Ovis aries: one gene and its partners. The protein of the gene in region 3 binds, or shares a complex with, the protein of the main gene of each other region. Links are inferred from orthologs where the notes say so. Each region holds a gene or a part of one and is shown on either strand. Other genes may lie near its edges.

What was found. Proteins that work in one complex are often made in the same cells at the same time.
Region 1: the proteins of CCND1 (region 3) and AMBRA1 are in contact, whole or in part, in a cryo-EM structure (PDB 9IVD), measured with the Homo sapiens proteins. The link is inferred for Ovis aries from reciprocal best matches to the Homo sapiens genes CCND1 and AMBRA1. Residues at the interface, in NP_444284.1 of Homo sapiens: Thr286, Pro287, Thr288, Asp289, Val290, Arg291, Val293, Asp294, Ile295; in NP_001354397.1 of Homo sapiens: Arg54, Ser55, Phe57, Val73, His75, Arg96, Thr97, Trp99, Leu116, Ala139, Arg184, Ile945, Asn1012, Asn1029.
Region 2: the proteins of CCND1 (region 3) and CDKN1B are in contact, whole or in part, in a crystal structure (PDB 6P8F), measured with the Homo sapiens proteins. The link is inferred for Ovis aries from reciprocal best matches to the Homo sapiens genes CCND1 and CDKN1B. Residues at the interface, in NP_444284.1 of Homo sapiens: Met56, Ile59, Val60, Trp63, Glu66, Val67, Glu70, Glu92, Lys95, Lys96, Ser97, Arg98, Leu99, Gln100, Leu101, Ile126, Tyr127, Thr128, Asp129, Ser131, Arg133, Glu136, Gln139, Met140, Leu142, Leu143, Asn146, Lys147; in NP_004055.1 of Homo sapiens: Lys25, Pro26, Ser27, Ala28, Cys29, Arg30, Asn31, Leu32, Phe33, Pro35, Val36, His38, Glu39, Glu40, Leu41, Thr42, Asp44, Leu45, His48, Cys49, Met52.
Region 4: the proteins of CCND1 (region 3) and CDKN1A are in contact, whole or in part, in a crystal structure (PDB 6P8H), measured with the Homo sapiens proteins. The link is inferred for Ovis aries from reciprocal best matches to the Homo sapiens genes CCND1 and CDKN1A. Residues at the interface, in NP_444284.1 of Homo sapiens: Met56, Ile59, Thr62, Trp63, Glu66, Val67, Glu70, Glu92, Lys95, Lys96, Ser97, Arg98, Leu99, Gln100, Leu101, Ile126, Tyr127, Thr128, Asp129, Ser131, Arg133, Glu136, Gln139, Met140, Leu142, Leu143, Asn146, Lys147; in NP_000380.1 of Homo sapiens: Ser15, Lys16, Ala17, Cys18, Arg19, Arg20, Leu21, Phe22, Gly23, Pro24, Val25, Ser27, Gln29, Leu30, Asp33, Cys34, Asp35, Leu37, Met38, Cys41.

Annotation. Positions count from the first base shown.
Region 1 is NC_056068.1:75,485,033-75,492,622, forward strand, and holds the start of AMBRA1 (activating molecule in BECN1-regulated autophagy protein 1), read right to left. Parts: upstream 4,632-7,590; 5' UTR 4,425-4,631; intron 4,265-4,424; exon of another isoform or gene 3,869-4,264; intron 1-3,868. UniProt on the Homo sapiens protein: Substrate-recognition component of a DCX (DDB1-CUL4-X-box) E3 ubiquitin-protein ligase complex involved in cell cycle control and autophagy.
Region 2 is NC_056056.1:202,778,420-202,785,888, forward strand, and holds the start of CDKN1B (cyclin-dependent kinase inhibitor 1B), read right to left. Parts: upstream 4,632-7,469; 5' UTR 4,096-4,631; coding exon 3,621-4,095; intron 3,067-3,620; coding exon 2,945-3,066; 3' UTR 2,937-2,944; intron 796-2,936; 3' UTR 1-795. UniProt on the Homo sapiens protein: Important regulator of cell cycle progression. Inhibits the kinase activity of CDK2 bound to cyclin A, but has little inhibitory activity on CDK2 bound to SPDYA. Involved in G1 arrest. Potent inhibitor of cyclin E- and cyclin A-CDK2 complexes.
Region 3 is NC_056074.1:43,279,306-43,287,003, reverse strand, and holds the start of CCND1 (G1/S-specific cyclin-D1), read right to left. Parts: upstream 4,880-7,698; 5' UTR 4,720-4,879; coding exon 4,522-4,719; intron 2,936-4,521; coding exon 2,720-2,935; intron 2,214-2,719; coding exon 2,054-2,213; intron 1-2,053. UniProt on the Homo sapiens protein: Regulatory component of the cyclin D1-CDK4 (DC) complex that phosphorylates and inhibits members of the retinoblastoma (RB) protein family including RB1 and regulates the cell-cycle during G(1)/S transition.
Region 4 is NC_056073.1:10,677,985-10,685,327, forward strand, and holds CDKN1A (cyclin-dependent kinase inhibitor 1), read left to right. Parts: upstream 1-3,091; coding exon 3,092-3,527; coding exon of another isoform or gene 3,528-3,724; exon of another isoform or gene 3,725-4,962; coding exon 4,963-5,012; downstream 5,013-7,343. UniProt on the Homo sapiens protein: Plays an important role in controlling cell cycle progression and DNA damage-induced G2 arrest. Involved in p53/TP53 mediated inhibition of cellular proliferation in response to DNA damage.

The DNA of each region.
Region 1 (7,590 bases), on a different chromosome or scaffold from region 3:
ACTTCCATTGTAACGGCAACAGTAGAACTTTAATTCACTGAATCGTGGTATGTTGTGATTGCAACTTTTTAGGGGACTTACTGTCAACTCCCACAAACGCCTAATGCATTCCTCATGCCTTCATCTCTCTCTCCCCCTCAGCCCTTGTCTGTTTCCTTTACAGCACAGCCTAAATTTCAATCCTTATCAGATACCTGGTCAATTCTGCTCCCCATTCAAATTAATTCCATCAGGTCAGGAACACTCCTGTCTTACTTTTGTATCCCAGCATCTAATGAGCCTTCCATAATTATTTGTTAGATGAATAAAAGTCTGAAAAGGTAAGGCTTGAAACATACAGGTGCAAAAAAAAAAAAAAACACATACAGGTGCAATCAAGAAAGAGATCCAAAAGATCTGACTGGAGTATTTCATACCTCAGGACAAAAACACAGTACCACAACAATGCTCAGTGAAGAAAGGAGAAAGTTTAGGTGAAGAAGTGAAGATTATCAACCCGAAGAGCAAAGGAAGAGACAGAGAACAAGCCAGAAGAGACTACACTCATCCACAAACAAGCCAGGACTAACTGGAATAGAGGCAGTCACAGGCAGCACCTAAAACTTCTCTCCCTCGCACTTCCAAGGACATGTTCGTTGACACAAACACATTAGTAAGCTTCTCCAGGGCACTTAATGTTTGTTGCTTCTATTTTCCATGACTGTCAGGCACAATGCTGCCTTCAAAGAAGCAAGGGGACTGAGAACCCAGACGACATCAAGTCACTGTTGCTGCAAGACTGCACAGAAGTTAACATTGGAAGAGCACCTTATCTTTTCAAAGCAGCTTCGTGTATCTTCTTTTTATCAACAGAAGTTATTACAATAGCAGCATTATCTTTCCCATTCTTTCAATACAGACACATAAAAGCGCTCAAAGCCTTGAATTTGAGTCCTGCCTCTGCTACACATGTGCTGTGTGATCTGGAACATATCATCTACTTCTCTGTGATCTGAGTATCCATGGGGAAAATAACATGTACCTTCAAGGACTGTTCTGAGCATTAAACGAGATTAACACTTGCAAAGAACACGACACAGTAATGCTCAATAAAGGAAAGTAACCTTCCCTATGGCCTCCTTAAATAGTCTGTACAAGATTTCTCAGCTAGCAACATGGTAAACCCAGGACTTAAACCCAGGCCGCCTGATTCCTTAATCTGTTTTCTTCCAGCCACATTGCTTTGGCAGACTGCCGCATACTGCTGCTGCTGCTGCTAAGTCGCTTCAGTCGTGTCCGACTCTGTGCGACCCCAAAGACGGCAGCCCACCCGGCTCCCCCGTCCCTGGGATTCTCCAGGCAAGAACACTGGAGTGGGCTGCCATTTCCTTCTCCACTGCCGCATACTACTGACACATAAATATATTGACAATAACTGATCACAAAATTTTTATCTATCAGTAACTAATTTTAGCTTTGAGAAAAAGGGACCCAAAAAACCTGATCTAATTAACTTGGGGGAAGGAGGGGTTTGAAAATACAAAACATCAATTATATCCCCAAGCCGCAGCAGAGGTGGTACCACAGCACTTCCGTACAAACAAAAAAATATGACAAGAAACAGAAAGTTCTCTCTGGGTTTATGAGGAACAATTGGAGAAAGAAACAAGCATGACTATGATTAAAGGAACTTAAAAAACCTTAGGTTTTTTTTTTTTTTTGGTAAACCAAACCACTGGGCAAAAAGATTTGCATCCCATTCCAAAATAACTTGATCAGGGCTGAGAAGTATCTTTAAAAAAGAGAACGCAGTGTACGAACAACAAACTGTTTCTTCCAAGTCTTTTAAGAGTTAGATAAATGAGAAGAGTGAGATTAAACCACCAATGTAAATTGTCAACATTCATGAAGGTCCTTGAAGACCATAAATGTTTGTTTTGGATTCAGTATTAATAAGCAGCATAAAGGAGTGTGATCAAAAGGATAAAAGTTTCATAAGTAACCTAACACAACTTGAAAATATTTTGAAAATTATACAGTATAAAACTAAGCTATTATTCTGTTAATAAAAATAACCAACTGCTTTCAAGTGATATATATATAACTAGTCTTTTTCAAGTGGTATACATAACTTCTTTCAGGATAAGTTCTAAAAGACATTCAAAGAAGTTCACATCTTTAACAATCCCCAAGAACTTTCTTACTAAAAGAGAAGACAGAATAATTCAGCCACATTCGGAATTTGTAAATTCTGAAAAGAAAGGCCAGAAGAGAGCTTGACCTGACATTAGCAGAACACAAGATTTAACCGAGAAAGGTAAAGGTTGAGTGAACGTCTACCACAAAGCAGGGGGGGAAGCTGATAAGAAGCTCTACCCCTTTCCACGACAACCAAATTCCTGGTCCTCTTCAACTCAACTTAAACCTCTGCTAATTATTTTCCATGGAAGCATAACAAAATACCCCAAAATTTCTTCCTGACACTTACAGCGAATTTCATTTCTTATTTAGCATTCATCAGGAGCCACTAACTCTAAATTCTATGCAGAACCTATCAATCTCCAGGGGAATATGTCCCTCCCTTCTCTAAATTCTTCATTGTCATTGTTCAGCAAATTGTGTCTCTTTTGCAACCCCATAGACTGTAGCCTACCAGGCTCCTCAGTCCATGGGATTTCCCAGGCAAGAGTATGGGAGTGGTTTGCCATTTACTTCTCCAGACGTTCTTCCCAGATCAGGGATCGAACTGGGGAAGCCCTCTAAATTCTTTTCTCTGATATTAAATTCTCTTCTGTCATAGAAACTTTTTCAGAGAACACACATTAGCCTAACTTCCCAATATAGATTCTCCATAAAGACAGTCTAGTGACTCTTCATTAATCTATTCCAGGGAGCACTCAGGATCTGGCAATTAGGAAATCACTCAAGATCAAGGGCCCTACATTTAAATCCTGCTGACCTCACTAAAATGATGATGATAATGATAATACAAGGAAAAAACAATAATCCTTCCAAAAGTCATGTGAGAAGTCTAAATTTGTTAAAGTACATAGACTTGTACAGTCTCACTCCAAGGACTACAAATTTAGTCTCTTCTCCCTTAAGAAAACCCAACTCCTACTGATTCTAAATTTGTACTATGGAAATACTTATTCAACCTAGAATGACCTCTAGGTTGATTATTTTTTTCAACAAAGAAATTACACAAATTAGAATCATGCCACTAAATCCAATGAAAATAAAACGAGGAAGAACATTTAGTCTCCAAAGTTTCCGGGCTAGGAGAGAAAAGGAAAAGATAATGGAGTTCCCATATTTAAACTTTCGATTTAAATATGTCAATATTTGAATGATTTCTACACATAGCCTTTTAAACTCTAGTATATGCAGTAACTAAGTCACTAATGCAATACACAACACCGGCACAAAAGCGACTCCTTAGGTTTTATTTGGATTCTTCCTAGAAAGCAGTCTCTCAGGACAAATATCTGACTTCAAAATCTTGACCATCCTCTTCAGGACATTAAGTACTTAACACCACAGTTGAAAGACTTCCAGTGAGAAACAGGCTGAGGAAGGAGACAGAAAGTATCAACGCGAAAGTAAACCAGACAGCAAACAAAATTTTATATCAAGAAACAAAAAGAAATTGTCATGACTCCTCCCGCTAAAATGATACAGACTTTCAAAGCAAAAGCAGCCGCAAGACTGCGTGTTCCCTTTACTTCTGAAGTCTCCAGGGACGGAATTTACCTATATTCCTCGGAAGGAGGGACTAGAGAGACGATCAAACGACAAATCACTATGTGGATAAAATGACGGGTTAAGTATGGGGGGGGGGGGCGGGAGGGACACACTGAACTGGTAAACAACGAAAAAATGAACTCACGGTGCATTTAAAGATCTGTGCTGGATACGGGGAAAGTCACGTCCCAGATGAACCTCAGTTTCCCTACCCCAAAAAAGGCGAGAACGTGACACTTGGCTCAGAGGAACCGGAGGGCCCTGCGGCCTCAAGCCTCCACCTAGTCAAGGGTCCCTTCGAAGGCCGGACTTGGAGAGTGTCCCCCAGTACAACTGAGTCGTGACACCCGGAGCCTTTGGGGGTCGGGAGGCCAAAGCGCGCAAAGCTCTATCCGTTCCTGGAAAGCGGCTTCCCCCAAACACTGGGGGTACCGACACCCTCCCCGGACCCAACGAACCCTCCCTCCCGGGCCACTCCAGGCGGCAAAACCAGCATCCCTCCTTCCTTCCGGCTTCTCCCTCCGCTGCCCGCCGCCTCTCCGACCGCGCCCCCGAACGCCGCCGCCGTGTAGCTCCTCCTCTGCCCGAGTCTCCGCGGCCGACCGGCCCTCCCGCCCACCCACCCGCCGGCGCCAAGGTCTTCCGAACCCGGCAGCGGAAGGATGCCGGGCCGGGGCCTCCCAGGCTCCTCCTGGGCCTACCTGCGAGGCGGGCGGGGGCTCGGTTTGCAGCCCAACGGGTGGACTGAGCCGCGCACTAGAAGGAGAGGCAAGAAGGAAGCGAGGGGTCCGCTCCGCCGACCGGCGGGAGAAAGCAGCCTGAGCGCGGGGGCCTCGCGGACGAGACAGCCTTCGACCCGGCGCCGCCGCCGCCGCCGCCGCCGCTCGGGAGACATCAAGCGAGAAGACGGCGCAGGAGATCACCGAATAGACGAACGCCCCAGACCTCAAAGGAGGAGCGCCCAAGCAATCGTTCAGGGAACCGCAGTCGAGCGTCGAGAAGCAGCTTCGCTCCAACTCCCGGTCCGGCTCCTGTCCAAGGCGTAAATAAACGAACCCAGATCATAAGCCATGGAGTCGGAGTAGACTAGGCTTCTGCCATTTTCTGTGTCGAGTGCGGGCTAACTCGTTTAGAGAACCGGAATTTCTCTTGAGAATGTTGAAGAGCAAGTCATAGTATGATAACGCTTTGTTACTTAACTGTAATTCAGCGACTACCTTATGGACTCTCAACAGTATTTATCCCACCTGAGCCAACAGGCACAGAGAGAATCCAGGCTGAGGAACAAATCATCTCTATTCAAGCTCCAGTTAGCTCCCATAAGCATAGCTGAGAAAAGCTGGGAACGTTCAGGGTTGTGTAGTCTGATCTTACGGCAGGAAATATAATACACATACTGCTTTTATTTTATTGCAAAGACCTAAAACCACAGGCGTGCTTCTTAATAATACATAATAACCAATAGTCTCTTTGGGTTCTAAATTCAACAAAGTGTTATCGTCGCAACTATGGCGTTTTTTTGAACTCTCTTAGTAGACAGACTAACATGGTCAGCACAAATATGGTAATATGTTCATTCCAAGCATAATTTAATAAATCATATAGATCATCACAGTATGGATTACCAACTGTGAGCAATAATAGTTTATCTTACCCACAAGCTGGAATCAAGATTGCCGGGAAAATATCAATCACCTCAGATATGCAGATGACACAACCCTTATGGCAGAAAGCGAAGAGGAACTAAAAGCCTCTTGATAAAAGTGAAAGAGGAGAGTGAAAAAGTTGGCTTAAAGCTCAACATTCAGAAAACGAAGATCATGGCATCCGATCCCATCACTTCATGGGAAATAGATGGGGAAACAGTAGAAACTGTGTCAGACTTTATTTTGGGGGGCTCCAAAATCACTGCAGACGGTGACTACAGCCATGAAATTCAAAGACACTTCCTCCTTGGAAGAAAAGTTGTGATCAACCTAGATAGCATATTCAAAAGCAGAGACATTACTTTGCCAACTAAGGCCCGTCTAGTCAAGGCTATGGTTTTTCCAGTAGTCATATATGGATGTGAGAGTTGGACTGCGAAGAAGGCTGAGCGCCGAAGAATTGATGCTTTTGAACTGTGGTGTTGAAGAAGACTCTTGAGAGTCCCTTGGACTGCAAGGAGATCCAACCAGTCCATTCTGAAGGAGATCAACCCTGGGATTTCTTTGGAAGGAATGATGCTGAAGCTGAAACTCCAGTACTTTGGCCACCTCATGCGAAGAGTTGACTCATTGGAGAAGACTCTGATGCTGGGAGGGATTGGGGGCAGGAAGAGAAGGGGACGACCGAGGATGAGATGGCTGGATGGCATCACTGACTCGATGGGTGTGAATCTGAGTGAACTCCGGGAGTTGGTGATGGACAGGGAGGCCTGGAACTGAACTGAAAACAAAAGAACGTGATCATCTTCCAAAACAAAAAGTTTTAATTTATTTATATTCCCATGAAGTCCTTGGATATATCCTATAATCAGTTCAGTTCAGTCGCTCAGTTGTGTCCGACTCTTTGCGACCCCATGAATCGCAGCACGCCAGGCCTCCCTGTCCATCATCAACTCCCGGAGTTCACTCAGAGTGGCATCCATTGAGTCAGTGATGCCATCCAGCCATCTCATCCTCGGTCATCCCCTTCTCCTCCTGCCCGCAATCCCTCCCAGCATCAGAGTCTTCTCCAATGACTCAACTCTTTGCATGAGGTGGCCAAAGTACGGGAGTTTCAACTCTAGCATAATTCCTTCCAGAGAAATCCCAGGGCTGATCTCCTTCAGAATGGACTGGTTGGATCTCCTTGCAGTCCAAGGGACTCTCAAGAGTCTTCTTCAACACCACAGTTCAAAAGCATCAATTCTTCGGCACTCAGCCTTCTTCACAGTCCAACTCTCACATCCATACATGACTACTGGAAAAACCATAGCTTTGACTAGACGGACCTTAGTCGGCAAAGTAATGTCTCTGCTTTTGAATATGCTATCTAGGTTGGTCATAACTTTTCTTCCAAGGAGGAAGTGTCTTTGAATTTCATGGCTGTAGTCACCATCTGCAGTGATTTTGGAGCCCCCAAAAATAAAGTCTGACACTGTTTCCACTGTTTCCCCATCTATTTGCCATGAAGTGATGGGACCAGATGCCATGATCTTCGTTTTCTGAATGTTGAGCTTTAAGCCAACTTTTTCACTCTCCTCTTTTACTTTCATCAAGAGGCTTTTAGCTCCTCTTCACTTTCTGCCATAAGGGTGGTGTCATCTGCATATCTGAGGTGATTGATATTTCTCCCGGGAATCTTGATTCCAGCTTGTGTTTCTTCCAGTCCAGCGTTTCTCATGATGTACTCTGCATATAAGTGAAATAAGCAGGGTGACAATATACAGCCTTGACGTACTCCTTTTCCTATTTGGAACCAGTCTGTTGTTCCATGTCCAGTTCTAACTGTTGCTTCCTGGCCTGCATACAGATTTCTCAAGAGGCAGGTTAGGTGGTCTGGTATTCCCATCTCTTTCAGAATTTCCCACAGTTTCTTGTGATCCACACTGTCAAAGGCTTTGGCATAGTCAATAAAGCAGAAATAGATGTTTCTCTGGAACTCTCTTGCTTTTTCCATGATCCAGCGGATGTTGGTGATTTGATCTCTGGTTCCTCTGCCTTTTCTAAAACCAGCTTGAACATCAGGAAGTTCACGGTTCATGTATTGCTGAAGCCTGCCTTGGAGAATTTTGAGCACTACTTTACTAGCATGTGAGATGAGTGCAGTTGTGCGGTAGTTTGAGCATTCTTTGGCATTGCCCTTCTTTGGGATTGGAATGAAAACTGACCTTTTCCAGTCCTG
Region 2 (7,469 bases), on a different chromosome or scaffold from region 3:
CACCCTGAAGTGAAAAGAAAATTAAGAAATGTCCTCAAAATTCTGATAAAAATTAAATGGTCAATTCTGTGCATTCAGAACACTCCCCACATACATGCCAGAGTGCCCAGAGGTACCTGGAGTGATTACCAGACTGATGAATACTGGGTAAATTCCAATTGTAAGGGAGACTAGTGGGGAGCACTGAGCTTTTTGTTGTTGTTGTTGTTTTTAAAAAAAAAGCCATTTGCTACCATATAACGGAATCATCAGAGCTCCCAAATGAGAAAAAAAACTTCATGTAAAAATAAATAGCAATTATCTGCAGCCAGTGTTCAAATTTGGGTGATTTTTTAAATGAAGTATCCGTTTTCATTGAAAGGGACATTACATCTTTAAAGAAAATAATTCAAACCCTTCCCCCAAACTGCTTCTCTTCATGCAAGTCAAATATTTTTGTCCTTGCTCTAAATCGAAGCAAGCTCTTAATACCCACCCCATGCCAATTCCTCAGTACCCCCCAGCCCTCCCTTCCCCAAAGTTTATGTGCTACATAAAAAGTAAAAACTATATACACAGGTAGTACAATGAAGCAAATAAGGAAAAACCTAATTGCACAATGCTACATCCAACGCTTTTAGAGGCAGATGATTTAAGAGTGCCTAAAACTTTAGTGTTAAGTCTGTTGCTGTTCAGTGCTTGTAAAGGATGTCCGTTCTTGGAGTCAGCGATATGTATTCCAAATTTTTAATTTATATCTTCCTTGCTTCATCAAGCAGTGATGTATCTGATAAACAAGGAAACATACTCTTAGTTCTGCAAAAGAAACAAGGAGAAAGAATTAGAAGAAAAGGCACTAAAAAAACATTGCCAATATATTACCGGAATTATTTTGTTAGTTTTAGCTGGGAAATACCTGAGCAACGGGAAAGAACGAACATACTAAAAGCTGGTGACTAGAGTCATCTCCATCCAACATTTCTCTCACTGGCTTTTCACTCTCCCCTGTGCTATAGGCTTTTGTCTAGAACAGCGGTATTCAACAGAGGGTAATTTTGCTGCCTGCCCTCGCCACCCTCCCACCCCCAGGGGGACATTTGGCAATGGCTGGAGACATTTTTGGTTGTCACACTGGGTATGACTGGAGAGGTTTCTACTGACATGTGCTTCAAGAGATCAGGGATGCTGCCAGAACATTCTACAATGCCCGGGACAGCCTCCCTCAACAAAGAATTATTCGGCCCCAAATGTCAGCAGTGCAGAGGTTGAGGAACCCTGGTCTAGAGAATTGGGGTCAAAGATACTGAGAAAGAACAGACATGGGAAAATTCAGAAACCAATAACACTTAAGAGCAGCAGAATTTTCTGTCTGAAAAATAATTGGCAATGATATTTATAAAGGCTCTCCAAAGAAAATTCTATTCACTTTTTTTTTTTCTCAAAATCTTCTAGTCTTAGTCATATGTAGAAATATACACACGAATGCTTATGAATAGGTCCTTACTACGATTTCCTGTATTCTCTGAACTGGCAATATTTACTAACAAGTGCTTCTCGGTAGGTGAGAATGGAGCCAGATCAAAATTCAACAGGTCTGATTTGCTCATCTGACGACTTACGCCACAAGTCACAAACCAAGAGCCGCAGGTGTTAGGGTTACTTCAGAAATCATTTTCATCCAATTTACCTACTTCATATATATAAGCTGTGATGTAGAGGTTTCATAGCACTGTTTTATATAAGCTCTGAAAAATATCACATATATGTAGCCAAGTCCTATATATGACACTGATTTAAAAACACAACAAACTTGAACCTCACCTTCATCCTTCTTTAAAATTTTTACAAATGAGGATTTTAAAAGTTAGTGTAAACATTTCTTAGGATCTCTTTATATGCTAGGCTAGTGAGAGTGGAGAGAGAAAGAAGGACATAGTTATTATAAGTTTACAAACTATGAATATGTGTAGTTTGATCCTTAAGACCAATCCATGTAAAGCTGGGGGCTGATTATTCAAATTAGCTTTTCATATTGATCGTATTTTAGTAAACGGCAAAAATCTCCACTTCTAATGTTGGGGGTACACCTACCCCTGCCAACCCCGATAACTACTCTCCATTTCCTCTACAAGCACCCAGCTTCTCCTGTTATAGCATGATTAGCATACGCATGCTGACGTGTTCCTGGATTGCTTACTCTGGCAGAGTCACTTCTGCTTTGCAACTTCAGTGTTATCAGAAATTCCGCAGGAACCTTAGTATTTTTGAGCCTTCCATTTCAGTTTTACTTTTTTTAAACACACAGGTTCCTTCTCCATCCTCCAAACTTATCAGAAGCCAGAGAGTGTGAGAGCATATGAAAATGATAAAGACAAAAGCAAGTCATATATTTCTGTCACATTTATAAATATTTGATTATCCAGATATGAACCACTTTTTCAGTGAGGAAAAGTGCCTCACTTTTCCCTCGAAGTTTTAATTAAATCATTTATTTGCCATTTTTGCCCATGTAGAGCTCAAAATCTGTTACTGAGTCAACATGGTCCTCTGGGAGATGAATTCTCATGAAGTGGGATGGAGGCAGACCCCTGCTCTTGGTCAGATGGAAAAAGAACCTATTGTTCTGGACATGTTTTGATGGCACCTTCAGGGAACTGACCTTCCTACTCACGGAGCCTTGGTTACAAGAACTTGCCTGGGACACTTGCTCTGATCAGTTGGTGCTTCAAAGGAAAATAATCTCAGGAGGTGAAAACTGGGAAGAACTATAGTACCTCCCCACTGATTCCCAGTCTTCCCCATTCCTACCTTTTTGTCCTCCCAAAGCATAAAACAAAAGCCCCCAAGTTTTCATCGGCCAGCCCCCACTGAGATCGGGTTATCTTGGGGCTTGAAAGCCCACCAGTTCCTGCAACCCAACTGGGGTGTCACTTATTTGCTCCAAGTCATCAACCCACCGAGTGGTTTACGTCTGACGCCTTCTGAGGCCAGGCTTCTTGGGCGTCTGCTCCACTGAACCGGCGTTGGGGGAACCGTCTGAAACATTTTCTTCTGTTCTGTTGGCTCTTTTGTTTTGAGGAGAGGAATCTAAGGGCAAGAGGGAATTTTTAAAAAGAACACACACAAACAATCTTTATTAGAAAAAAACAATGGCCGACAGAAGTGAGCCCAAGAGTCAAGGGACAAAAAACCCACTACCTCCACCCACAATCTTGGGTCCGTCATTCCCAGTGGCCTTTAAGGGCACAAAATGAAGTTGTTTTCACATAACAGAAAGTGTATTTTCTACGCTTCAAAGCTCTCTCTCCAAAGCGAAGAAGGAGGCAGTTGATAAACATCCCAACATTGTCACATACCTACCGCTGTCTAGCTGGGAGGAGCCGCGATGTTTTCAGTTAGAGAAATGATCAGATAACACAATCTCAAGCTTCTGACTTAAAAGTCATAAACAGACAAGCAGGCAACTAAATAAATAGCATGTACTCATGTACCTCAAAGTAGGAAAGTGCGCTCCCCCCACCTCCGCCCCAAAAGCTAAGTCAGAACGCGCTGAAAAGAAAGCTGCGGTTAAAGACCCTCAAGCAGGGAAAGGAGCGCGGCAGACAGAGACAGACATTTTAGGCATCGGAAAGGGTCATTACCATCTGCGGCAGGTCGCTTCCTTATCCCGGGGCACTGCTCCGCTAACCCGGTCTGGCTGTCCGGGGCATCAGTCTTCTGATCGACCAAATGCGTGTCCTCTGGGTTTGCCTGAGACCCAAGTAAAGGCACCGCCGGGCGGGCCCCGCTGGCATCCTGGCCTTCCTGCGCCGGCACCTTGCAGGCGCCTTTGGGTGGCCGCGGGGGTCTGTAGTAGAACTCGGGCAGGTTGCCCTTTTCTACCTCCTGCCACTCGTACTTGCCCTCCAGGGGCTTGTGATTCTGAAAATCAAAATTCCACTTGCGCTGGCTGGCCTCTTCCATGTCTCTGCAATGCTTCTCCAAGTCCCGGGTTAACTCTTCGTGATTGACCGGGCCAAAGAGGTTTCTGCAAGCCGAGGGCTTGGGGTACTCCGCCTGTCTGGCGTCCATCCGCTCCAGGCTCGGGCTCCCGTTAGACACTCGCACGTTTGACATCTTCCTCCCAGGGGGTGGGGTGGGGGTGGGGGGTCTCGGCGACTGAGGCTCTTGCGCGCGCTCTCTCTCTCTCGCCAAACAAAACCGAACAAAACAAAACGCCCCGACCCAGCCCGAGCCCCTCTTTATAAGCCCTGCGCCGGCCCCTGGAGCCAAGAGAAACAAACGCGAGCCGAGTCAGCGCCCGAGCGTCTAGGCGCGCACGGGGCTGGGGGAGGGGGCGAGGGGCAGCCCCCCGGGGCCAGGCAGCCCCGATCCCGGCCGATCAAGCGGGAGGGCGGGGAGCGGAGGGGAGGGGAGCCGAGCGCCGCCGAGACAGGAGGGGGCAGAGCCGCTCCGAGTCCGGGCCGCCGCGAGCCCGCGGGTCCCGCCGCCCGAGCGCCGTCTCCAAACCTTGCGGGCGTCGCGGAGTCGCGGAGCGGCGAGAGAGTGAGCCCAGAGGAAAGCGGGGAGGAAGGAAAAAAAACACCCCCGAAAAGACGAGCCCCCTTTTTGGAGTTGCCCAATATGGCGGTGGAAGGGAGGCTGACGAAGGAGAAGATGATTGACACCGCGAGTCTATTTAAACAGAGGAGGAGATCATTGGTCGCGGCGCCGGGAGCCGCCCCGCCGAGGCTGGCGAGCTCGGCCTTAAGGTGGCCCCGCCGCGCCTCCCCGCCTCCCGAGCGCGCCGCCGCCGCCGCCGAGCGCGCGGCCGGGACCCGGGGCTGGTCGCGTGACTGCGGGAGGCGCACGGCTTGCCAGCAGACCTGCTCCGGCTGGCCTAGGAGAAATTACAAATAAGACAAACGAGCTCGCCAAACGGCCGGGGAGCCGGGGAGGGGCCTGGGCAGCGGGGCCGGCCGGCGGGTGTTCTGATCCCGGGCGCTGCGCGGACCCGCGCGCCACTGCTCCGGAGCCCCGACCTCCCCGGCTCCTCGCCCGGGAAAGCGGGGGAGAGTTCCAAGGTGCTCGGCCGCCGGTGGTGGTACCCTTGGCTGGCGATCTTGTTTGCGCTGCACTCACCGAGCGGGGGATGGGGGGACGCAGGGTGGGAGCTCGGCCCCCTAGCTGGGCTCCCCCCCGGGGGCCCCCAATCGCTCACATGGCGGGGGAGGCGGGGAGCCCCTCGGCCTGGGTGCCTTAAGCTGGAGGTGAGCAGTGGTTAGTTCAGCCTTAACCTAGAAGTCTGCTATTTCTAGGGGAGGTTAGGGGCTTAGGTGAGAAGCCTAGGAGGACGTCTTTCTGTAAATTACCCTGGAATAGATGCAGTCTTTATTATGTATTCTGAACCCAAGGTTTCTCTCAATAAAAAATAAGAAAGGATTGCAAGATCAAAAAGTCAACTGATCTCCCAAGTCCCTAATAAACTTTGTAGCTGTCTCAGACACATTTAGTTTAAAAAAAAAAAAGCGAGGTTAGATCCCTGGCCCAGGTTCTTGCCTCCCAAGTACAGTTCACTGACGTGGGCTGCGTGTGGGAACTCGTCTCCTCTTTGTATTTTTCAATTCTTTGCCGGGTTGTAGCAGTTTCCTCTACCTGAGTCCAGCCGCCAAACACAACAGCTTCTTCCTTCCTCCACCCTTCTCTCCCACCAGACTCAACTTCTTGGAACCCACCCAGAACACCATTCAGATGCAAGTGACTGACGCTTTTAAAGGGCGGCGGATCTTCTAAGAGTGAAAGGAATCGGAAAGTCCGGATTGCGAAGTGATTTCTAAAGCAACCACAACCGTGTCCTCACGTCTGAGATTGTTCGGTTGGTCAGAAAGTTCGTTCGGAGTTTTCCAGGCGATCCTACGGAAAAGCCCAAACGAGCTTTTTGGTCAACCCAGTATTTCGGCATTTCTCTGCTCCCCTTTGCAACTTGACATTTACCTAACTGTGCTCCTGAGCAAGGTGATGGAAGTTAAAACAGGATGGACAGGCTGTTATATCTGAAACAAAGGGTCTTTAACTGCCCTCCCTATCCTTCTTTTGTTCTGGATCAAAGTTACACATTTTACTGGAAAGTAATCTCCGGTTCTAACAGTGCCCAACAGCAATTGTGCACAACAGTTTTCTTAGGCATCTATGCTACAGGTGAGTTTGACATTTAACTTGTTTTCTTAACCCACATAGTATTTGCCCACTTTGTGTGCCTTCCTTGCTTCAGACATTCCAGAATGTAGGAGTTAGGAGGAACCTTGGAAACCCTGTGGTTCAACCTTCTCTTTTAACCATTGAGGAAACTGAGACTCAAGAGAGGTTTCTCTGGGTTATTACCCAGAGTGATTCTCCTATCTATAGTCTGCAGGTCCTCCTCTCCTATAAATGATTCAAAATGGCTCCTTCTCATGCTCTGGGCTGCTTGCAGCTGTTTCCTTGATGTGGCCTGTGGTCCCTGATATTTAAATAGGACTGTCACTGGCCTTTGGTATGACCTTGCACTTAATATGACTAAAATGCAGATTCCAAAGGGGCAGGGTGAGACCCAGAGAGCAGTGAGAGAGACAGTGCTTTCAAAGGCCAGACTTCCTACCTGATGGAGAGAAAATATTTCATCTGGCATCTAAGTAAAAGGTCTCATCTTCTTTATTTTTTAGGTCGAATGCCCCCACTTAATTTACTGAACTGGAGAAGATGGAGAAGAGGGACAGAAAAATTAGGGTAGGTCTCAATACCCTACTCCTGAAATTATAGATTATTGTTGTTGAAATCTTTACACAGTTGTTGGACTACACCAAAATTCTGTATTCTATATGAACATAAATTCAGATGCATAAGTACACAACTACCACATCTATGTAAATGGAGACATTCTAGAGTATTACACCTTGCCACAGATGTTTGATTTTATTCGTGGAATTAATATCTTCCAGAAAAGTAAAAAATGGATATTTTCATCCCCTACGCACCCTGAATATTTCTTTAACTAGTATGTAGGACCACCATTTTGTCGCTTTGTTAATCTTGAAAACCAAACGAGTCACAGTGACGCCACCTTAAGACGTCTGGCTGCCAGCAGAAAGGCTGTGCTTACTCCGACCTTGCTATGATCTAAAGTGTTTTGTTTACAGTCAAGGCACCGGAGAACTGCGGGGCAAATAGTGAGAGGGCAGGCGTCTGCTGTAGTAGCGATGAAGCGTGAAAAAAAAATACGACAGAGTCCCCGAGGGAAGAGAACCCGGAGCTGTGAGCGCCATCCTCCTGTGGAAAGTAGGCGGCGGCTTTAAGAGACTGAGCCGGGAGAATTTCCAATAAACAGCCTAAAGGCGGAGCCTGGGGAGAAGACAGAAAGTTACACTCGCGCTGCTCTGAAAAAGGGGGCTCGGCTGCCCCCAAGACCCAGAATCTCGTCCTGGGTGATGTTTTTGTTGTCAGTTTCCCTCTTGATAGTTTTCTCCTTAGAGCTG
Region 3 (7,698 bases):
GGCACCTAGTCAGGAACCTAGGTCTGCCAGGCATGGACCAGGAAGAGCAGACACCCGCCCCCCTCCCTAGCACCTTTCAAAAGGGACCCCTGCCATGTGGAGGGCTGGGGCACGTACTCATGCCTCCACTTCACAAAACCTGTTTGAGGCTGTAACATGCCCTTCTCACCTCAAGAAAACACCCCCACCTCGGCTTGTGACTCAAGCACACAGCTGTGCCACTCAAGTTCAACAGCTCAGGACCCGCTTTGGGGGGTGCTGCTCCCCGGCCCCCCCAGTGCTGCTGCAGATGAAATGCTGAGTCACCCCGGGCCATCCCCCGCCTTTCACCCCATGTGTGTGCAGGTATCTGTAACTCCAGGCCAGGGGCGCTGGCTGGGCTGGTTCTCAGACAACTGCCAGAGCGCGGGCACGGCCTCTGTGCCCAGGTTCTGCGCTGTCTGCACCCCCTCCCAGGCCACACACCCCACTTCCCAGGGGTCCCTGGAGTAGGGGCGGGGGTGTTCCGGGCTGTCCCAGCCATCCTCGGGGGAGCGCGTGCAGGAACCGTTCCTTGCATTATCTGCGGGAAACTTGGTCGTTTCTCTGAACCACTCTCAGCTCCATAAAAGGCTGCCTGCAAATCTCTGGAGGCTTCTCTTCTCGGAGGCATCCCAGCCAGAGAATGCCTCCCTACCCGCTTGCCGGGCTGGCCCCTGGAGGCCGGGGAGACACGTGTGAGAGCCCCCCCCCACACCATCCCTGCCCAAGGGCGGGTGCTGCGGGGCAGGAGAGCCAGGGGAGGGGGCACCCTCACCCCTCAGATCCATCCAAACTGAGATGCTCTTGGCCTCTCGTCTGCCCCCACCCCGTGGCTCACTTGGCAGGACGACTTCTGAGGGGTCCTTCTTAGAGGGGCTCATGCCTTGAGCAGGCAGGAAAATGGGGCAGCACAATCTCTCCACCTCCCCTAACCTGGAAACCTCAGCCACTAGAACCCCTGGACATGGGGAGGGTGACATCAGATGGTGGGTGGGTGACCCCACCCCTTCTGGGGAAGAGGTGAAAGATGTCAAGTCCTCTTTGGTGGAGCGTGGTCCTCAGGTCGCCCAGAGGGAGCCCCCAATAGGTCTGACTGCTGAGGCCTGGTGAGGGGGAGAGACGGCCCGCAGAAGAGCTGGGCAGGATGGGGCATGGGTCCCTGGTCAGGGTCCCCAGGGGTCCTGGGCCCAGAGCATGGGATCAGTGGGAGGAAGGGGTCACAGGGCTCAGGAGGCAGGGCTGGGAGAAGCAGGAGGCGGCCCCTGTGTCTCCCTGGGTTCTGACTGACTGGCCGCCTGGGGGCTGGGGAGAGGGCCCTGCCAGGGAGGGTCCCCCAGGGATGGTCCAGAGCGGTGCCAGGGGAGTTGTGGGGGGGTGTTCCTGCTGCCAACCGCAGCGGCCTGAGCCCAGGCGCTCTGAAATCGCTCCCAGGGAGAGCAGGGAGCGGAGCCGGAGCCCCTGGCGGGGCCTCAGGCAGCCAAGCGCCTCTGCTGGCCGCCCCCGCGCGAGGGCCGCGGCCTGCGGCCCAGAGCACGTGGTCCAGGCGCTGCCGGCCGGCGCTCCCCACCCCTGAGGCGCCCCTGGCAGGTGGCCCAGCCGGGGAGAAGCCAGGAGGGGGCCCCGGCAGCTCAGGCTCCTTGAGGACATGGGAGGAACGGGTGGGGAGGGGGACGGTGGGGGCTGGACGGCCAAGGTAGACCCCTTTCAGCACAGAGTGACCCCTGCCTGCAGCGGGGAGCAGGAGCTACAGCAGCTGGACACAGGCAGGCTGGCCACCCGCCCCCGCGGCCCCCAGGCACTGGGTGGTAACAGACCAGCCTCTGCTGCCCCCGCCCAGGAGGCAACGCCCCCCTCCCTGGAGCCCTTAAAAGCAGCCCAGCCCTCTCTGCTCCCCAGAACGGGGGACAGAGGAGCGCTTCCAAGAACGGGAGGGGCCCGGGGAAGATGTTCCCGCATCTCCCCCGACGCGGAAAACCGAGGCATGGGCCAAGCAGCTCCTCCCGGGCACCAGCGGCGGGGACCAGCACCCTACCTGTGGCACAGAGGGCAACGAAGGTCTGCGCGTGTTTGCGGATGATCTGCTTGTTCTCCTCGGCCACCGGCATTTTGGAGAGGAAGTGCTCGATGAAGTCGTGCGGGGTCATGGCCGCCAGGTTCCACTTGAGTTTGTTCACCAGGACCAGCTCCATGTGCTGCGGACCCGGGGGAAACGCGTGTCGAGAGGCGCAGGCGCGGACCCCAGTGGAGCAGGGGTCGGAGAGAGGGGATGGGGGTCGCTGGAGGGTCCGGGAAGTGAGGGGGAGAGCGCGCGACCCCACATTCCGTGCAGGGACGGTGCTGCTCGCCAAGGGTCCTACCCTAAACTCAGCCCACCCTGGGCCGGCGGAGACCAGGGGCCCGCCCACACCTGGAACGCGGAGCCGGGTCAACCGCGCGGGCGCCGCCCCGCCGCCGCCGCTGGAGGGCGCGCGCCCCCCACTTTTCGCAACGCTGGGGGCGCAGAGGTGGTGGGAGTCAGAGGGAAAGCGAGGGGGGCGGCGGCGCGGCTGCGGGGCGGCGCGGGGCCCCGCCCGTGCGGCCGCCTTCCTTGGGGGCGAGGGTCTCTCGGCGGCCCGCCGGGGACCCCCGCGCCTCCCCCACCCCGGGGTCCCGCGGCTAACTGGGCGTTCAGGGGCCGTGGCGGGGGTCCCAGGGTTACCAGCAGCTCGTCGGGCCGGATGGAGTTGTCAGTGTAGACGCACAGCTTCTCGGCCGTCAGGGGGATGGTCTCCTTCATCTTCGAGGCCACGAACATGCAGGTGGCCCCCAGCAGCTGCAGGCGGCTCTTTTTCACGGGCTCCAGCGACAGGAAGCGGTCCAGGTAGTTCATGGCCAGCGGGAAGACCTCCTCCTCGCACTTCTGCTCCTCGCAGACCTGCCGGGGGGCACCGGGGGCCGTGACCGCCGCCGCCGCCGCCGCCGCCGGGAGCGCCCGGCCCCTCTGCGGAGACCTCGCGCCCCCCGACCCGGCTCGCGCCAGGGCGGCTGGACTGCGAGGTCTCTGAGCGCGCGGAGGGTCGGGGCAAGGGGCAGCAGAAGCCGCCGCCGCCGCGCCCCTCTTCCCCGGGAGTCCCCAATACTCACCCACCCCGAAACTGAAAGGGAAAGTCCCAGCTAGGCTGGCACAGTGGGGGCGGGAGCGGGCACAGCTGGGCGGCGTGTGTCGCGCGCGGGCTGTGGGTCCCAGGGACCCCGGCCCGCGTGGGTGCTTCGGGAGCCGCCAGACCTGGGGTCGGCAAAAAATGGGGCGCAGGGCCGCGGGGAGGGCCGCGGGGCTGGGCGCCGCGCTCGCAGCGCCTGCGAGACACAAAGGTGGCGTCCCAGGCCGCCGCGCCGCATTTCCCCAGACGTCATCTTTTCAAAAAATATTTAAAAATATAAAAAAATTAAGTGGGTACATAAAAATGCCCTGAAAATGACCCTCAGACTGTCCTTTACCCAGGCCGGGAGTCGGGAGCTCGTTGCGGGCTCAGGGGAGAGCCCCAGGAATTCAAACTCGGGGGCCCCCCTTCCCCCTGGGCGCGGGCGCCGTTTCCTTCTCGCAAGGGCACCACGCCGCACTTTCAAAAATTATTTTAAAATACTTGCGGTGCCCCGGGGAGCCCTCTGAAGGCCTGAAAACGTGCCCCTGGCCCCCAGCTCGCTCCAGACAGGTCCCCCAAGCTGAGATCCCGGCAGATGAGGGTCCATTCCTAGCGTCTTGGGGGCCACGCGACCTTGCAGCCCGGCGTGCTCTCTGGCCCAAGCTGGCCTTGCGGGACGCCCCGGGACCCACTGCTTGAACAAAGGGGCCCCCTTTCCCGAGAGGGGTCCCCCCACAACTACCCGAGCTCTGTCCCCGCGCCCCTCCCGCTGGGTCCCGGTGGCGGCGCGGCCCCTCGCGGCGGCCCCAAGCGCCTGGCCGGCCGCTCCCCGCCCCCACCCTGCCCCCAATTATTAATAAACACTTTTGCTTTGCAATAAAAGAACAAAGATGGCGCATAATACTGGCACGAGCGGCCCTTGCATACGTGTCCATGGATATTAATTTAAAAATCAAATCTATGCCCCCTCCCCCTGGAGCTGGCGGCTCAGCAGCCGCGCGGCCGCAAGAGGAGGCGCAGCGGGGCTGCGCGGTGGAGGTCCCGGCGGGGGCCACAAAGGACGCCCAGCCTGCGGGCCCGCACCCTGAAGCCAACTGGGGTGCCCGGGCAGTGGCTTTCCCCTAGGGTACCCCTCCTCGACCGCCGCCGCCCCCACCCACCCACGAAAGGAATTATCTAATGACCCCACCCCCACTCCCTCCTTGTTCAAAAAAATACCCTGAATATCTATATATTTTGGAACTACGATTCCTAGCAACACTCTGGCAAACTTCAAAGTTTGGGTGGGAGAGAAGGGAGGGTGATGAGTGGCAAAGAAAAGTGGGTTTGCGCAACAAGTCGCAGGAAAGTGCTAAGAGAGCCGCCCGGAGCCCCGCACCTCCAGCATCCAGGTGGCCACGATCTTCCGCATGGACGGCAGGATCTCCTTCTGCACACACTTGAAGTAGGACACCGAGGGCGCGCAGGTCTCCTCCGCCTTGAGCATGGCCCGCAGCACTCGGTCGTTGAGGAGGTTGGCATCGGGGTACGCCCGGCGAATGGTTTCCATCTCGCAGCACAGGAGCTGGTGTGCCATGGTTGGGGGCTCGGCTAGGTGGCCGGGGGGCGGCGATGGGTCCGGGGCTGGGTCGGCTCTCGACTCGGGCTCCTGCTGCCCCGCGCTCCCTCGAGCTCGTCTGCCCCTCGCCGGAGCGCGCGGACGCTGCTGCTCGCTGCTACTGCGCCGACAGCCCTCTGGAGGCTCTAGGACTTTGCAACTTCCAACAAAACTCCCCTGTAGTCCGTGTGACGTTACTGTTGTTAAGCAGAGATCAAAGCCGGGCAGAGAATGGGAGCGGGAAGGAGGGGGGCCGGGCGCAGGGGGAGGGGGCGCGGGCGCCGAGCGTCGGGGAGCGGCGAGGGGCAGAGCCCAAAAGCCATCCCGGAGGCGCCGCGCCTGCACCGCGCGGTGTTGCCCCCGAAGCCGGGTTTTCATAGAAATGCAAACCGTCCTAAGGCTGCCTTTCTCCCCGCCGAGGAAGAGGGGTGCAGGAGCGGGGGTTGGGGGGGGGGTCTGTCCTCCCCGAGCGGGTCCCGCAGGATTTGGGGGGTTGGGTGACGGTGGCTCTGCAGAGGGGGACAACTAGGAGGGCGGGCAGGCCACACGCAGCTGGGGGAGACCGTGTGGAGGGGGACGCTGGGGTTCGGTGACACTCTGAGCCGGGAGAATGGGCGCATTTCCGAGAACGCCACGAGGGCACCCACGGGCGGAGGCAGCCAAGGGATCTTAGCGTCTACGTCTTCTTTCATTTTCATTAACACGTGTAAATTTCAGGAACCATTTACCATTCAGGGACTCAGGGCAGAGCCGACAACCCCGGTGGAGGTTTCATTCCCGCACCGAGGGGGGTCTGTGCAAATGCCGGAGGGGTAACCCCCAAAGTTAAAGGGCTTTCAGCCTAACACGCGCTCGCTCAAAAAATAAAATAAAATAAATGCCCGAAAATTCCAGCAGCAGCCCAAGATGGTGGCCAGCATTTCCTTCGCCCTGTCCTCTTCGCCTGGGGGATCTGCGCACTGTCTTCCTACCTTAGCTAGTCCATTCTTGCGGGGGGCCCCCAACACTTCCCCCCCGCCCCCGCCCTGTGCCGGCAATTTAACAGCTAGAAAAACACTCTGAAAGGAAGGCTGCAAAACAGTGGTCTCTGTCCTGTCTCGTTTTTTTAATTAAAAATTAAGCTAAATCGCTGGAAATATTGGTCGCCTCCCCGCCTGGGAGAAGACCACCGGAAACTTCCTAATTGGCTTTGTTGGGGGTGTGGACCTCTCTTCACCTTTAGAATTTGCCCGGGGGCTGCATTCGAGAGCCTGAGGCGGTTGGCGGGGGTCTGGCAACAATCAGAACAATTACAAGTTAAAGAAATAGGTGTATTGATCTGATGATTTTAAACAAAACCTATATATATTCGTGGCTATACGCGAGTCCCCAATATTAATCGCAAACTTATAAGAATATAAAAGAATATAGTTTCAGAGACTGAAAAGATTCAGTCTCTTTGGTGCTTATTTTTAAAATAAAAGGACATCTTACCCAGTCTTAACATTTTTTTAAAGTTTTTACTCTACCTGCCCCAAATTAAGAACACTGTTCATTAACTTCCCTCTGAATATAGTCTAGTGTCATCAAACCATCTGATACCCTAACGTTAAAGGCTCAAAGAAAACGGATTAAAAAGCCCCCCTCCCCTTCGCAAGGGCGCACACAACAGGACAAGACCCCCTCACTTTTCAGAGCTGATTCTTCCCGCGCCCCTCCCCCGCAGAGAATCAGAATTACTAATATTCCGGGTCCAGGAGGGTAATTACCCTGGGCTCACGCCTCGGGAGGAGCGGATGGCCCGACAAGGGAGCGCCCACCGCCGTGTCTCCCTCCCTGGGCACCCAGGCTCGCGTTGGCCCCCGGCACGCGGGAGCCTCGGAGCATCAGCCCGTGCACGAGGGCGGCTGGGTTGCTTTTCATTCATAAAATCCCGACCCGGCGGCCGCCGGGATGATTTATGGGGTTGCGCGCTACCACCGGGTTGCTTCTGTCCCGGAGGGCGGGAGGCGAAGGGGCCCGAGCCCCGCGTGTGCCCGGACCCGGGCCCGAGGCAGAGTCGCCACGGGGAGGGGCAGCTGGTCGTAACGAGGATCGCCCACTCCGGCGGGACGGACTCCAGGTCCAAGAGGGAGCTTCCCCCTAACCCCGGAGAAAGACGGAGGAAACTGGAATTAGCATGAGCCAATGGGGGCGCGGCGCTGTTACTAGGCGGGCCGGGCAGATCTAGACTAGGAACTTCGTTGATTTCCCCGCTCAGGGACGGGCGCAAAAGTGCAAGCCCGGCTGCCGAGCGTGAAGAGCCGTCCAGGAACCCGCGGGGGGGAGGCGCTGGAATTTGGCGCCTGGTGGGGAGAGCCCGCCGCCCAGCCCCCACCCCAGGGAGCCCAGATCCGCGTTCCTTGGAGAACCGCGGTGGGGGTGGGGGTGGCGGCAACAGCTTCGGGCCTTTAATAAAGGCTGCTTATAGGAGAGCAGGGGGCGCGTTTTATTTTATTTTTTTTGAGAAAGAAAAGCAACTTTTAAAAACTTCACTGCTTAAGGTTTAATTTTGCACGGCCTTGATAAAACCCACCACGAAGCAGGAACTACAAGTTCTGGGCTCATTTACAGTGCTCTGTGCTATTTCTTGGTGACCCTTTGAAACAAAGGGCCAGTGGCTCAACGGGAAACCAAGTTGGCTGGGAAGAAAATGCAAAAGTCACTTAGATCACCTTTTCGCTTTCCTCGCCCCCTGTTCCCTCGCCGAAGTGACCGCAAGCCGAGAGGGACGCCGGCCCCGAGAGGGCCAATTCCGCGGCGGGCGCCTTTGCCACCGTCCCTGGCTGTGGGAACCTTCATTCACGGCGGGGGAAGGGAGCGCGTTCATTCAGGAGCCAGCGCGCCGCGGCGCCGACTCCCGGACGCACCGCGGCTGCGCGCCGCCGGGCCGGGGGGCTCTGGGGAGGGGGTGCAGGGCCCAGCGGAGACCTTCCCCCT
Region 4 (7,343 bases), on a different chromosome or scaffold from region 3:
TTCAGGGATCTGACTCATCCCTTGCTTTGGGCGTGGAGATAAGGTGGAGGGACCAGATCTCGGCGCGCTTGTTGCGTGCGTGCTGTGTGTGTATGTGTGTGTGTGTGTGCGCGTGTATGTACGCGCGTGCGCGCGTGTGTTTCACAAGAGGCGGCGCGAGAGCGCGCTGTTTCCCAATAGTGGCGGGCGTTTCGGAAGCCTGACTGGCTCAGCATGACGTGTTCGCGGCCCCCGATCCCCCTCCCACTCCCCCTCCCCACCCCAGGGTGACGTGCAGCGGGAGTGGAAGCGAAGTTTTGGCGGGCGGGTAGCGCTTTGCAGGAAACTGACTCATCACAGCTCGCTGCCGGCCTCCCAAGCTCTGCCCACGCAGCTCCCCCTCCGCGCGTGATTTCCTGGAGACCGGCGCCCTCTTCTGGCCACATCGCTAATAGCTAACCCGCCTTCCCGCGGAATGAGTCTTCACCAGCCTTTGATTCCCAATGTAATCTACTCTGGTACTGATGCTGAGTCTTTGCCCACTCCTCTCTTAAAAATAGTGCCCCCATTGGATCTGCAGTGTTTACTGAGTGCTTACTGATTATTTGGGAATGAAAATATGGTTGAAGTCCAAGGCATGATAAAACCCTAGCAGGGTTCCTCCTCTTGCCAGTGAAGCCCTGAGATCTGTAGTGTCTGTTCAAGCCCTTCTGTGTGTCCCTTCTTGGCTGGCACCCCAAGCATGCCCATCTGGAGAACTGTCAAGCCCTTGAATTTAATCATGTGGGGAAGAAGGGGCCTGTCAAATCTACATTTTGAAAAAGCTCCTCAAGTGGTAAGGAGCCTCTCTCTTGGTGAGGAAATCTCAGAATTAGGGAGTAGGGTTCAACACCAGCATGCAGAACACAGGGCATTCGGGGCTGGGTTCAAATCCTGACTGTGCCACTGGTGAGCTGTGTGACCTTGGGAAACTTACTTAATTTCTCTGAGCCTTGGTTACCTCTTCCGTAAAAGAGCTGATATAGCCATTTCTTCTGAAAATTAATATCCATAAACTTTTTTACAACAGCCCTTGGCTCATAAAATGTGTAAATAAGTCTCAGTCCTTATCCCTGAAGAGAGTGAGCAAAGGTTATTTATGGGCTTTGTCCACTGTGCTGTGTAACCCCTCTCTCTATGTGGTATGTGGCAGCTTGAGTAGACGCTATTGATCTTTTTAACCGTGTGGGTTCAGGGCAAGTCTTAAAACTCCTGCCCTTTAAACTCGGTCAGAGGTCATCTAGTGCCCTCCCCTCCCCTGTGTGCTGAGACTTGGAGCTGTGGGCTTCACTCACTGTGAGAGGTGGAGTGGGGACAGGTAGGTATGGTGTGGGTCCAGGGCTGCTTGCCCCAGGAGGACCCTCAGCAGGGCTTTCACCTTCAGAGCCTGCAAATCAGGACGTGTCCCCAGGAAAACCCAGTCCCTGTTAAAGTCATGCAGGTGCTCAGACCTGGAGTCAAGCCAGAGCCGGGCAGGGAGGTGCCAGCACCCCCTCATGGGCAGGCTCACCTTCAGTGTTCCCTCTCCTTTAGTTTTCCCTCTCCCACTTTAGTGGGAGGAGAGGAGCCAGGTAGACCGGTGCCTTTAATTTTCTTTGCCTGCAAAACGGGTTCCTTGGATGCAGGCAGAATGGGGCAGGGGCTTCCAGGTTGTCTAGACTTCAGGTCACCTGATGTACCTGGCAGGATGTGGCTCAGCCTGGGAGAAATCATTGCTCTGCCCTGCCCTGCCTGGCTCCTCCTTACCCGCAGGCTGCCTGCCTGATGACATCCTTGGGAAAGGCCCTCAGCCCACAACACCTGTCAGCTGCTGTCTGAAGGAGGCGGTGGCCCAGGTGGAGTGATGGGGAGGAGTCAGCCAGAACTAAAGGCAGAGAGAAATAATATTCTCCAAACACTTTCTCTGTACTTGGTACGGCTCAGAGGGCGTTATCTACAACCGCTTAGCGAATTCTCACATCTGGCCTCTGAGACAGTCGCTGTTGTTATCTCCTTCTAGAAATGACACCAGAAATAGATGTCCCTTTCATCATAGGCGACTGGAATGTAAAAGTAGGAACTCAGGAGGTACCTGGAGTTACAGGCAAGTTTAGCCTTGGAGTACAAAGTGAAGCAGGGCAAATGGAGTTTTGCCAAGGGAACGCACTAGTTACAGCAAACACCCTCGTCCAACATACACAAGAGACAACTCTACACATGGAAATCTCCATCTTATACAGGAGGAAAACAGAACCCAGAGAAGTTAAGCCACTTGTCGAAGGTTGCCCAGCAGAGCCTGGATTCCAACCCAAGTGGCCTGGTTCCAAAGCCCTCACCTTGAACCACCAAGATACAGCCGTTGAACTCTGCTCCATCTGCCTTGCCTGGCGGGGCCCGCCAATCATTTCCTTGAGCCTGCGTCTACAGCCCCACTCTTTAGACATGTATGCAGTCCCATTTTACAGATGAGGAAACTGAGGCCGGGGGACTTGAAGTGACTCTTTGAAAGTTGAGGTAGGAAGTGGCAGAGCGAGGACTAGAACCCAGGTGCTTTTAACCCCAAAATCCAGAGTAGTTTTAAGTCACTGAGCAGGATTACTCCACATGAGCATCTAGATGGAGGGATTTGAGAGGAGGCATCCATTTTCTTGGGAATTGACCTCCCCGGCCAGGCCTGGAGTTAGGAAACTGCTGGACTCTGACAATTCACACATACCTGGGGGCATTCACACCCATGAGGGACACCTCAGTGGGAAAAACAAATTGATTTTAGCTGATAACACCCAGTGGTAAACAGGACCCTGATCCCTGCTATTGCAATAAACTTGCCTTTGTTGACATAAACTTGCCCTTCAGCTGCCCACTCCCCCAGTGACCTGGGGGTGTCAGGCTGACTGACTCTGCCCCTCACACCCTTTCTGTGGGTGGAGGTTGGGAGAGCCTGTGGGAGGAACCCGAGAGCCCCTCTCACCTCACTTTCTAGTAAGGAGACTGCGCCTGAGGTTACGCAGTGGCATGGCCCAGAGAGGGAGCGTCCGACTTCCTGAGTGTCTCACGTGCCCCGGGTCTTCCTTGTGTTCCAGCCACAGGTGCCATGTCTGAGCCGTCCAGGGACGCGCATCAGATCCCCCGCAGCAGCAAGGCCTGCCGCTGCCTCTTTGGTCCAGTGGACAGCGAGCAGCTGCGCCAGGACTGCGACGCCCTCATGGCCAGCTGCGTGCAGGAGGCCCGAGAGCGATGGAACTTCGACTTTGTCACCGAGACGCCCCTGGAGGGGGACTTTGCCTGGGAGCGTGTGAGGGGCCTCGGCCTGCCCAAGCTCTACCTGCCCGTGGGGCCCCGAGACGATGTGGGAGGGGGCAAGCGGCCGAGCCCCTCATCCGCCCTGCTGCAGGGCACGTCTCAGGAGGACCACTTGGACCTGTCGCTGTCCTGCACCCTCGTGACTCGCTCCCCTGAGCGGCCCGAGGGGACCCCTGGTGGGCCTGGTCCCTCCCAGGGCCGGAAACGGCGCCAGACCAGCATGACAGGTGAGGACGGGAGCAGAGGTGGCGGCAAGGGATTAGGACTCCCAGAACTCACTGTGCCAGGGCTGACCTGTCTGGCCCAGCTTACTCATCGCTCTGAGGGGTGGGAAACAGGCCCAGAGAGGGGAAGTGGCTTGCCTGAGGTCACACAGCAAGTCTACTACCAAGACCAATTAGCTGACATTTATTTGGAACATTGACTATGTGCCAGGACCTTTGATAAGTGTCTAGATTTCTTTTAGTCCTTATAGTGATCTAATATCATAGGACATTCTTGGCATCCTTTTACAGGCAAAGGAACAGGACTCTGAGAGGTAGAATGGTTTGCCTTAGGTCCCACACTGAATTTACCATGGAGAGTAAATGAATGATAATTTCCTGGCTGCCTTATCCAAACCTAACTCGCCTTCCCCTTCATACATACACACCTTCACCTGCACTTCCTAGCCTATTTTTCTCTTTTTGGCACTTTTTAAACTATCAACAGCTACTTCCATATTTTGATATAGTCCATCTTCCCAAATAGAATCCTATCATCTCCACAAGAAAGAAATCTGTATCTCTCTTGTTCATAATTGAGTCCTCAGCACCTTGGATGGTGTGTGACACATAGTAGGTGCTTGAGGGAAATGGAATAAGTGAGGCTGGCAGTTGAACACTATGCCAGGCCTTCAGCCAACGTCTTTTTATTTTTTACTTTACAAATGTATTACTGTTATTATTTTGGCTGTACGGCTTGTGGGATCTTAATTCCCTGAGCAAGGACAGAACCCAGGCCACCTCTGTTGAGCGCAAGGAGTCTTAGCCACTGGACCACCAGGGAAGTCCCCACCAAGGTCTTTCCGGAAACATTTCATTTAATCCTCTGAGCATCGTACCAGCGTTATCCTCATTTTATAGGTGAGGAAATGGAAGCTTGGAGCAGTGCAGCCAAGAATCCCACAGCACATTTGCAGCTGGGTCAAAACTAACAATAATGATAATAATAATAACTAACCTTTATATGGCTCAGACATCATGCAGAACGCTCTCTGATATATCAGGCTCTGCAAAGAAGCAGATGCCCAGTACCGCTGGCCACATATCACTGCTGAGTGTTTGCCATGAGGAACTAAATTTTTCTATTAGTCTAATGCTAGTTAATTTAAACAGCCGCCTAGGGTTAGCGACCACTGCATTTGGGCAGCTTGGCTTAAAGCAGGCCCATGCATGTAAAGTCTGTTATTGATCACGTCTGTGAAGCGTGGGGGGATGTCCTGTATGTATGTAGCCCTCCGGGAGAGAGGCTAGAAGTTTCCAGAGTTCTTCCCTATACTTGGCAATGTGTCTCTCGGGCCCTGGGGAGGGGTCCCTGGCCCCTCTGCAGGTTGCACTGCGCAGGTGGCTCTGCTGGGCCCTCTTCCTCCTGACCTGGCTGACATCTGTTCTCTCCCCCCAGATTTCTACCACTCCAAACGCAGGCTGATCTGCTCCAAGAGGAAGCCCTAACCCCGCTGCTGGAAGCACGTCCTCGTGGAAACAGGGGCCCACTGCAGGCCTCTTCTGTACCTTTTGCCTTGGTCCTTCAGTTTGTGCGTCTTAATTATTATTTGTGTTTTAATTTAAACGCCTCCTCTTGTACATACCCTGCTTGCTGCCACCCTTCCCACACCCCCAGCCTCTGGAATTATTTAAAAAAGAAAAAAATTAGCAGAAAAAATAGGCTTATTAGATTGCTAGGTATTTTTATTATATGAACCGTTATTTAAACCCTCCTCATTCTTTGCTCGGAGAAGGCAATGGCACCCCACTCCAGCACTCTTGCCTGGAAAATCCCATGGGCGGAGCAGCCTGGTAGGCTGCAGTCCATGGGGTCGCTAAGAGCTGGACACGACTGAGCAACTTCACTTTCACTTTTCACTTTCATGCATTGGAGAAGGAAATGGCAACCCACTCCAGTGTTCTTGCCTGGAAAATCCCATGGGCGGAGCAGCCTGGTAGGCTGCAGTCCATGGGGTCGCTAAGAGCTGGACACGACTGAGCAACTTCACTTTCACTTTTCACTTTCATGCATTGGAGAAGGAAATGGCAACCCACTCCAGTGTTCTTGCCTGGGGAATCCCAGGGACGGGGGAGCCTGGTGGGCTGCCATCTATGGGGTCACACAGAGTCGGACACGACTGAAGTGACTTAGCAGCAGCAGCAGCATCCTTTGCTTTCCTCGTCCTCGCTCCTCTGAGGCTGGCGTGACCCCCATCCTCTGGGTGGCACTCTCTGGAGGGGCCTGGTTCCCTCCCCCCTGCCATCTGATGGGTGTTACGAAGTCTCGCCCCCTCTTTCCTGCATTCTCAGACCTGAATTCCTTACAATCTGAGAAGTAAATAGATAGCACTTTGAAGGGGGCCCAACAGAGTTGGAGGCATCATCAAAACTTTGGGTTCCCCTTGCCCCTCTAAGGTTGGGCAGGGTGACCCTGAAGTGGGCACAGCCTGGAAATGGGGCTGCGGGATTGGACACCCTTCTGGCCCTTGATTCCCACCTCCGTCCTGTGAAGGCATGGGGAAGGTAGGGGCCCGTAGCAAACCACCCCTGCCTCCCACCCCCCCACCCCCATCCTCAGGGGAGCCAATCTCAGTGTTTGGCTTCCCTGTCCCCTGCATTTTTCCAGGAGCCCCAGAGGCCCCTGTTTCCCAGCCAGGCTCTCAGTCCCTCTCTGCTCCTCTCCCTTCCTCCATGCCCTTTCCCTTTAGTATCTTCTCAGCCCTGGGTGGCAGCTCTGAGGGGGTGCCCTAACCCCCAACTCAGTGGACTGGTGGAGGAAAGGACATGCTAGACATAGGGTTCCCCAGTTCTACCTCAAGCAGCGACTGCCCCCTGCTCTTAGCTCTTGGGGTGGGGGGTCCTGGGTGGTCAGGCAGGCCTCCTTGAATGGGGATCTCTCTGTGTTAGGGGTAGGTGGGTGAGGAGCAGATTTTTCCAGGAGGGACAGTGTGACACCAGCCCCTGGAACTCGTCCAAGGACTTTTTCCATTGGCCCCACCCCTTCCCCCATTTCATTGCACTTTGAATAACAGCTGAAGGAGTCAGATGGCGGGAACAGAGGCTGTGGATAGGATATGCTAAGTGGGCAAATATGGGTCTGGGAGCTGTGAGTCATTGTCTTTCCTGGCGCGGAACCTCTTGGTGGGCCTGAGCCCAGATGCCTTCCAGCTCCTGTAGCATCCTGGCCTGGACTGTTTTCTCCTGGCTCCCATACGTCCTGTTTCTTCTGTCTCCACCTAGACTGGAAGCCCCTCAAGGGCAGGGAGTAAGTCCTGTACTGCTCTGTGTGCTTCAAAGCCCCGCCCACAGTGCTGAGTATACAGCAGGTGCTCAATAAATACTCCTGATGACTTTACTCATAATATTAGTGTTGTGGTTGATATACCTTACTATTTATAAGAACAAGTAGGTGGAGGTTTTTTAAATTAAATATGCACTTAATAAAAAAGCAAAATAGTTTAGCAAAAGAAAGACCAAGACCACAAAACAAAAAGCAGACAATAACAAAACAATAAGTCATCACACCTCTACAGATTGCCACTGTTGGGTTCTTGTGTGTGGTTTTTTAAAAAGTAAAGAATACATTGTGACTCATCAGAAAAAAATGCAAATTAAAATCACAAATAAGATACCAGTACACATCTACCAGAATGACTAACATGAAAAAGACTGACAATGTCAAGTGTTGGTGAGGATACAGAGCAACTGGAACTCATACCTCCTGGTGGAAGCATGAGCTATTTCATCTCCTTTGGAATAACTCTTCGGCAATATCTTCTAAAGATGCCTCCCCTCAAG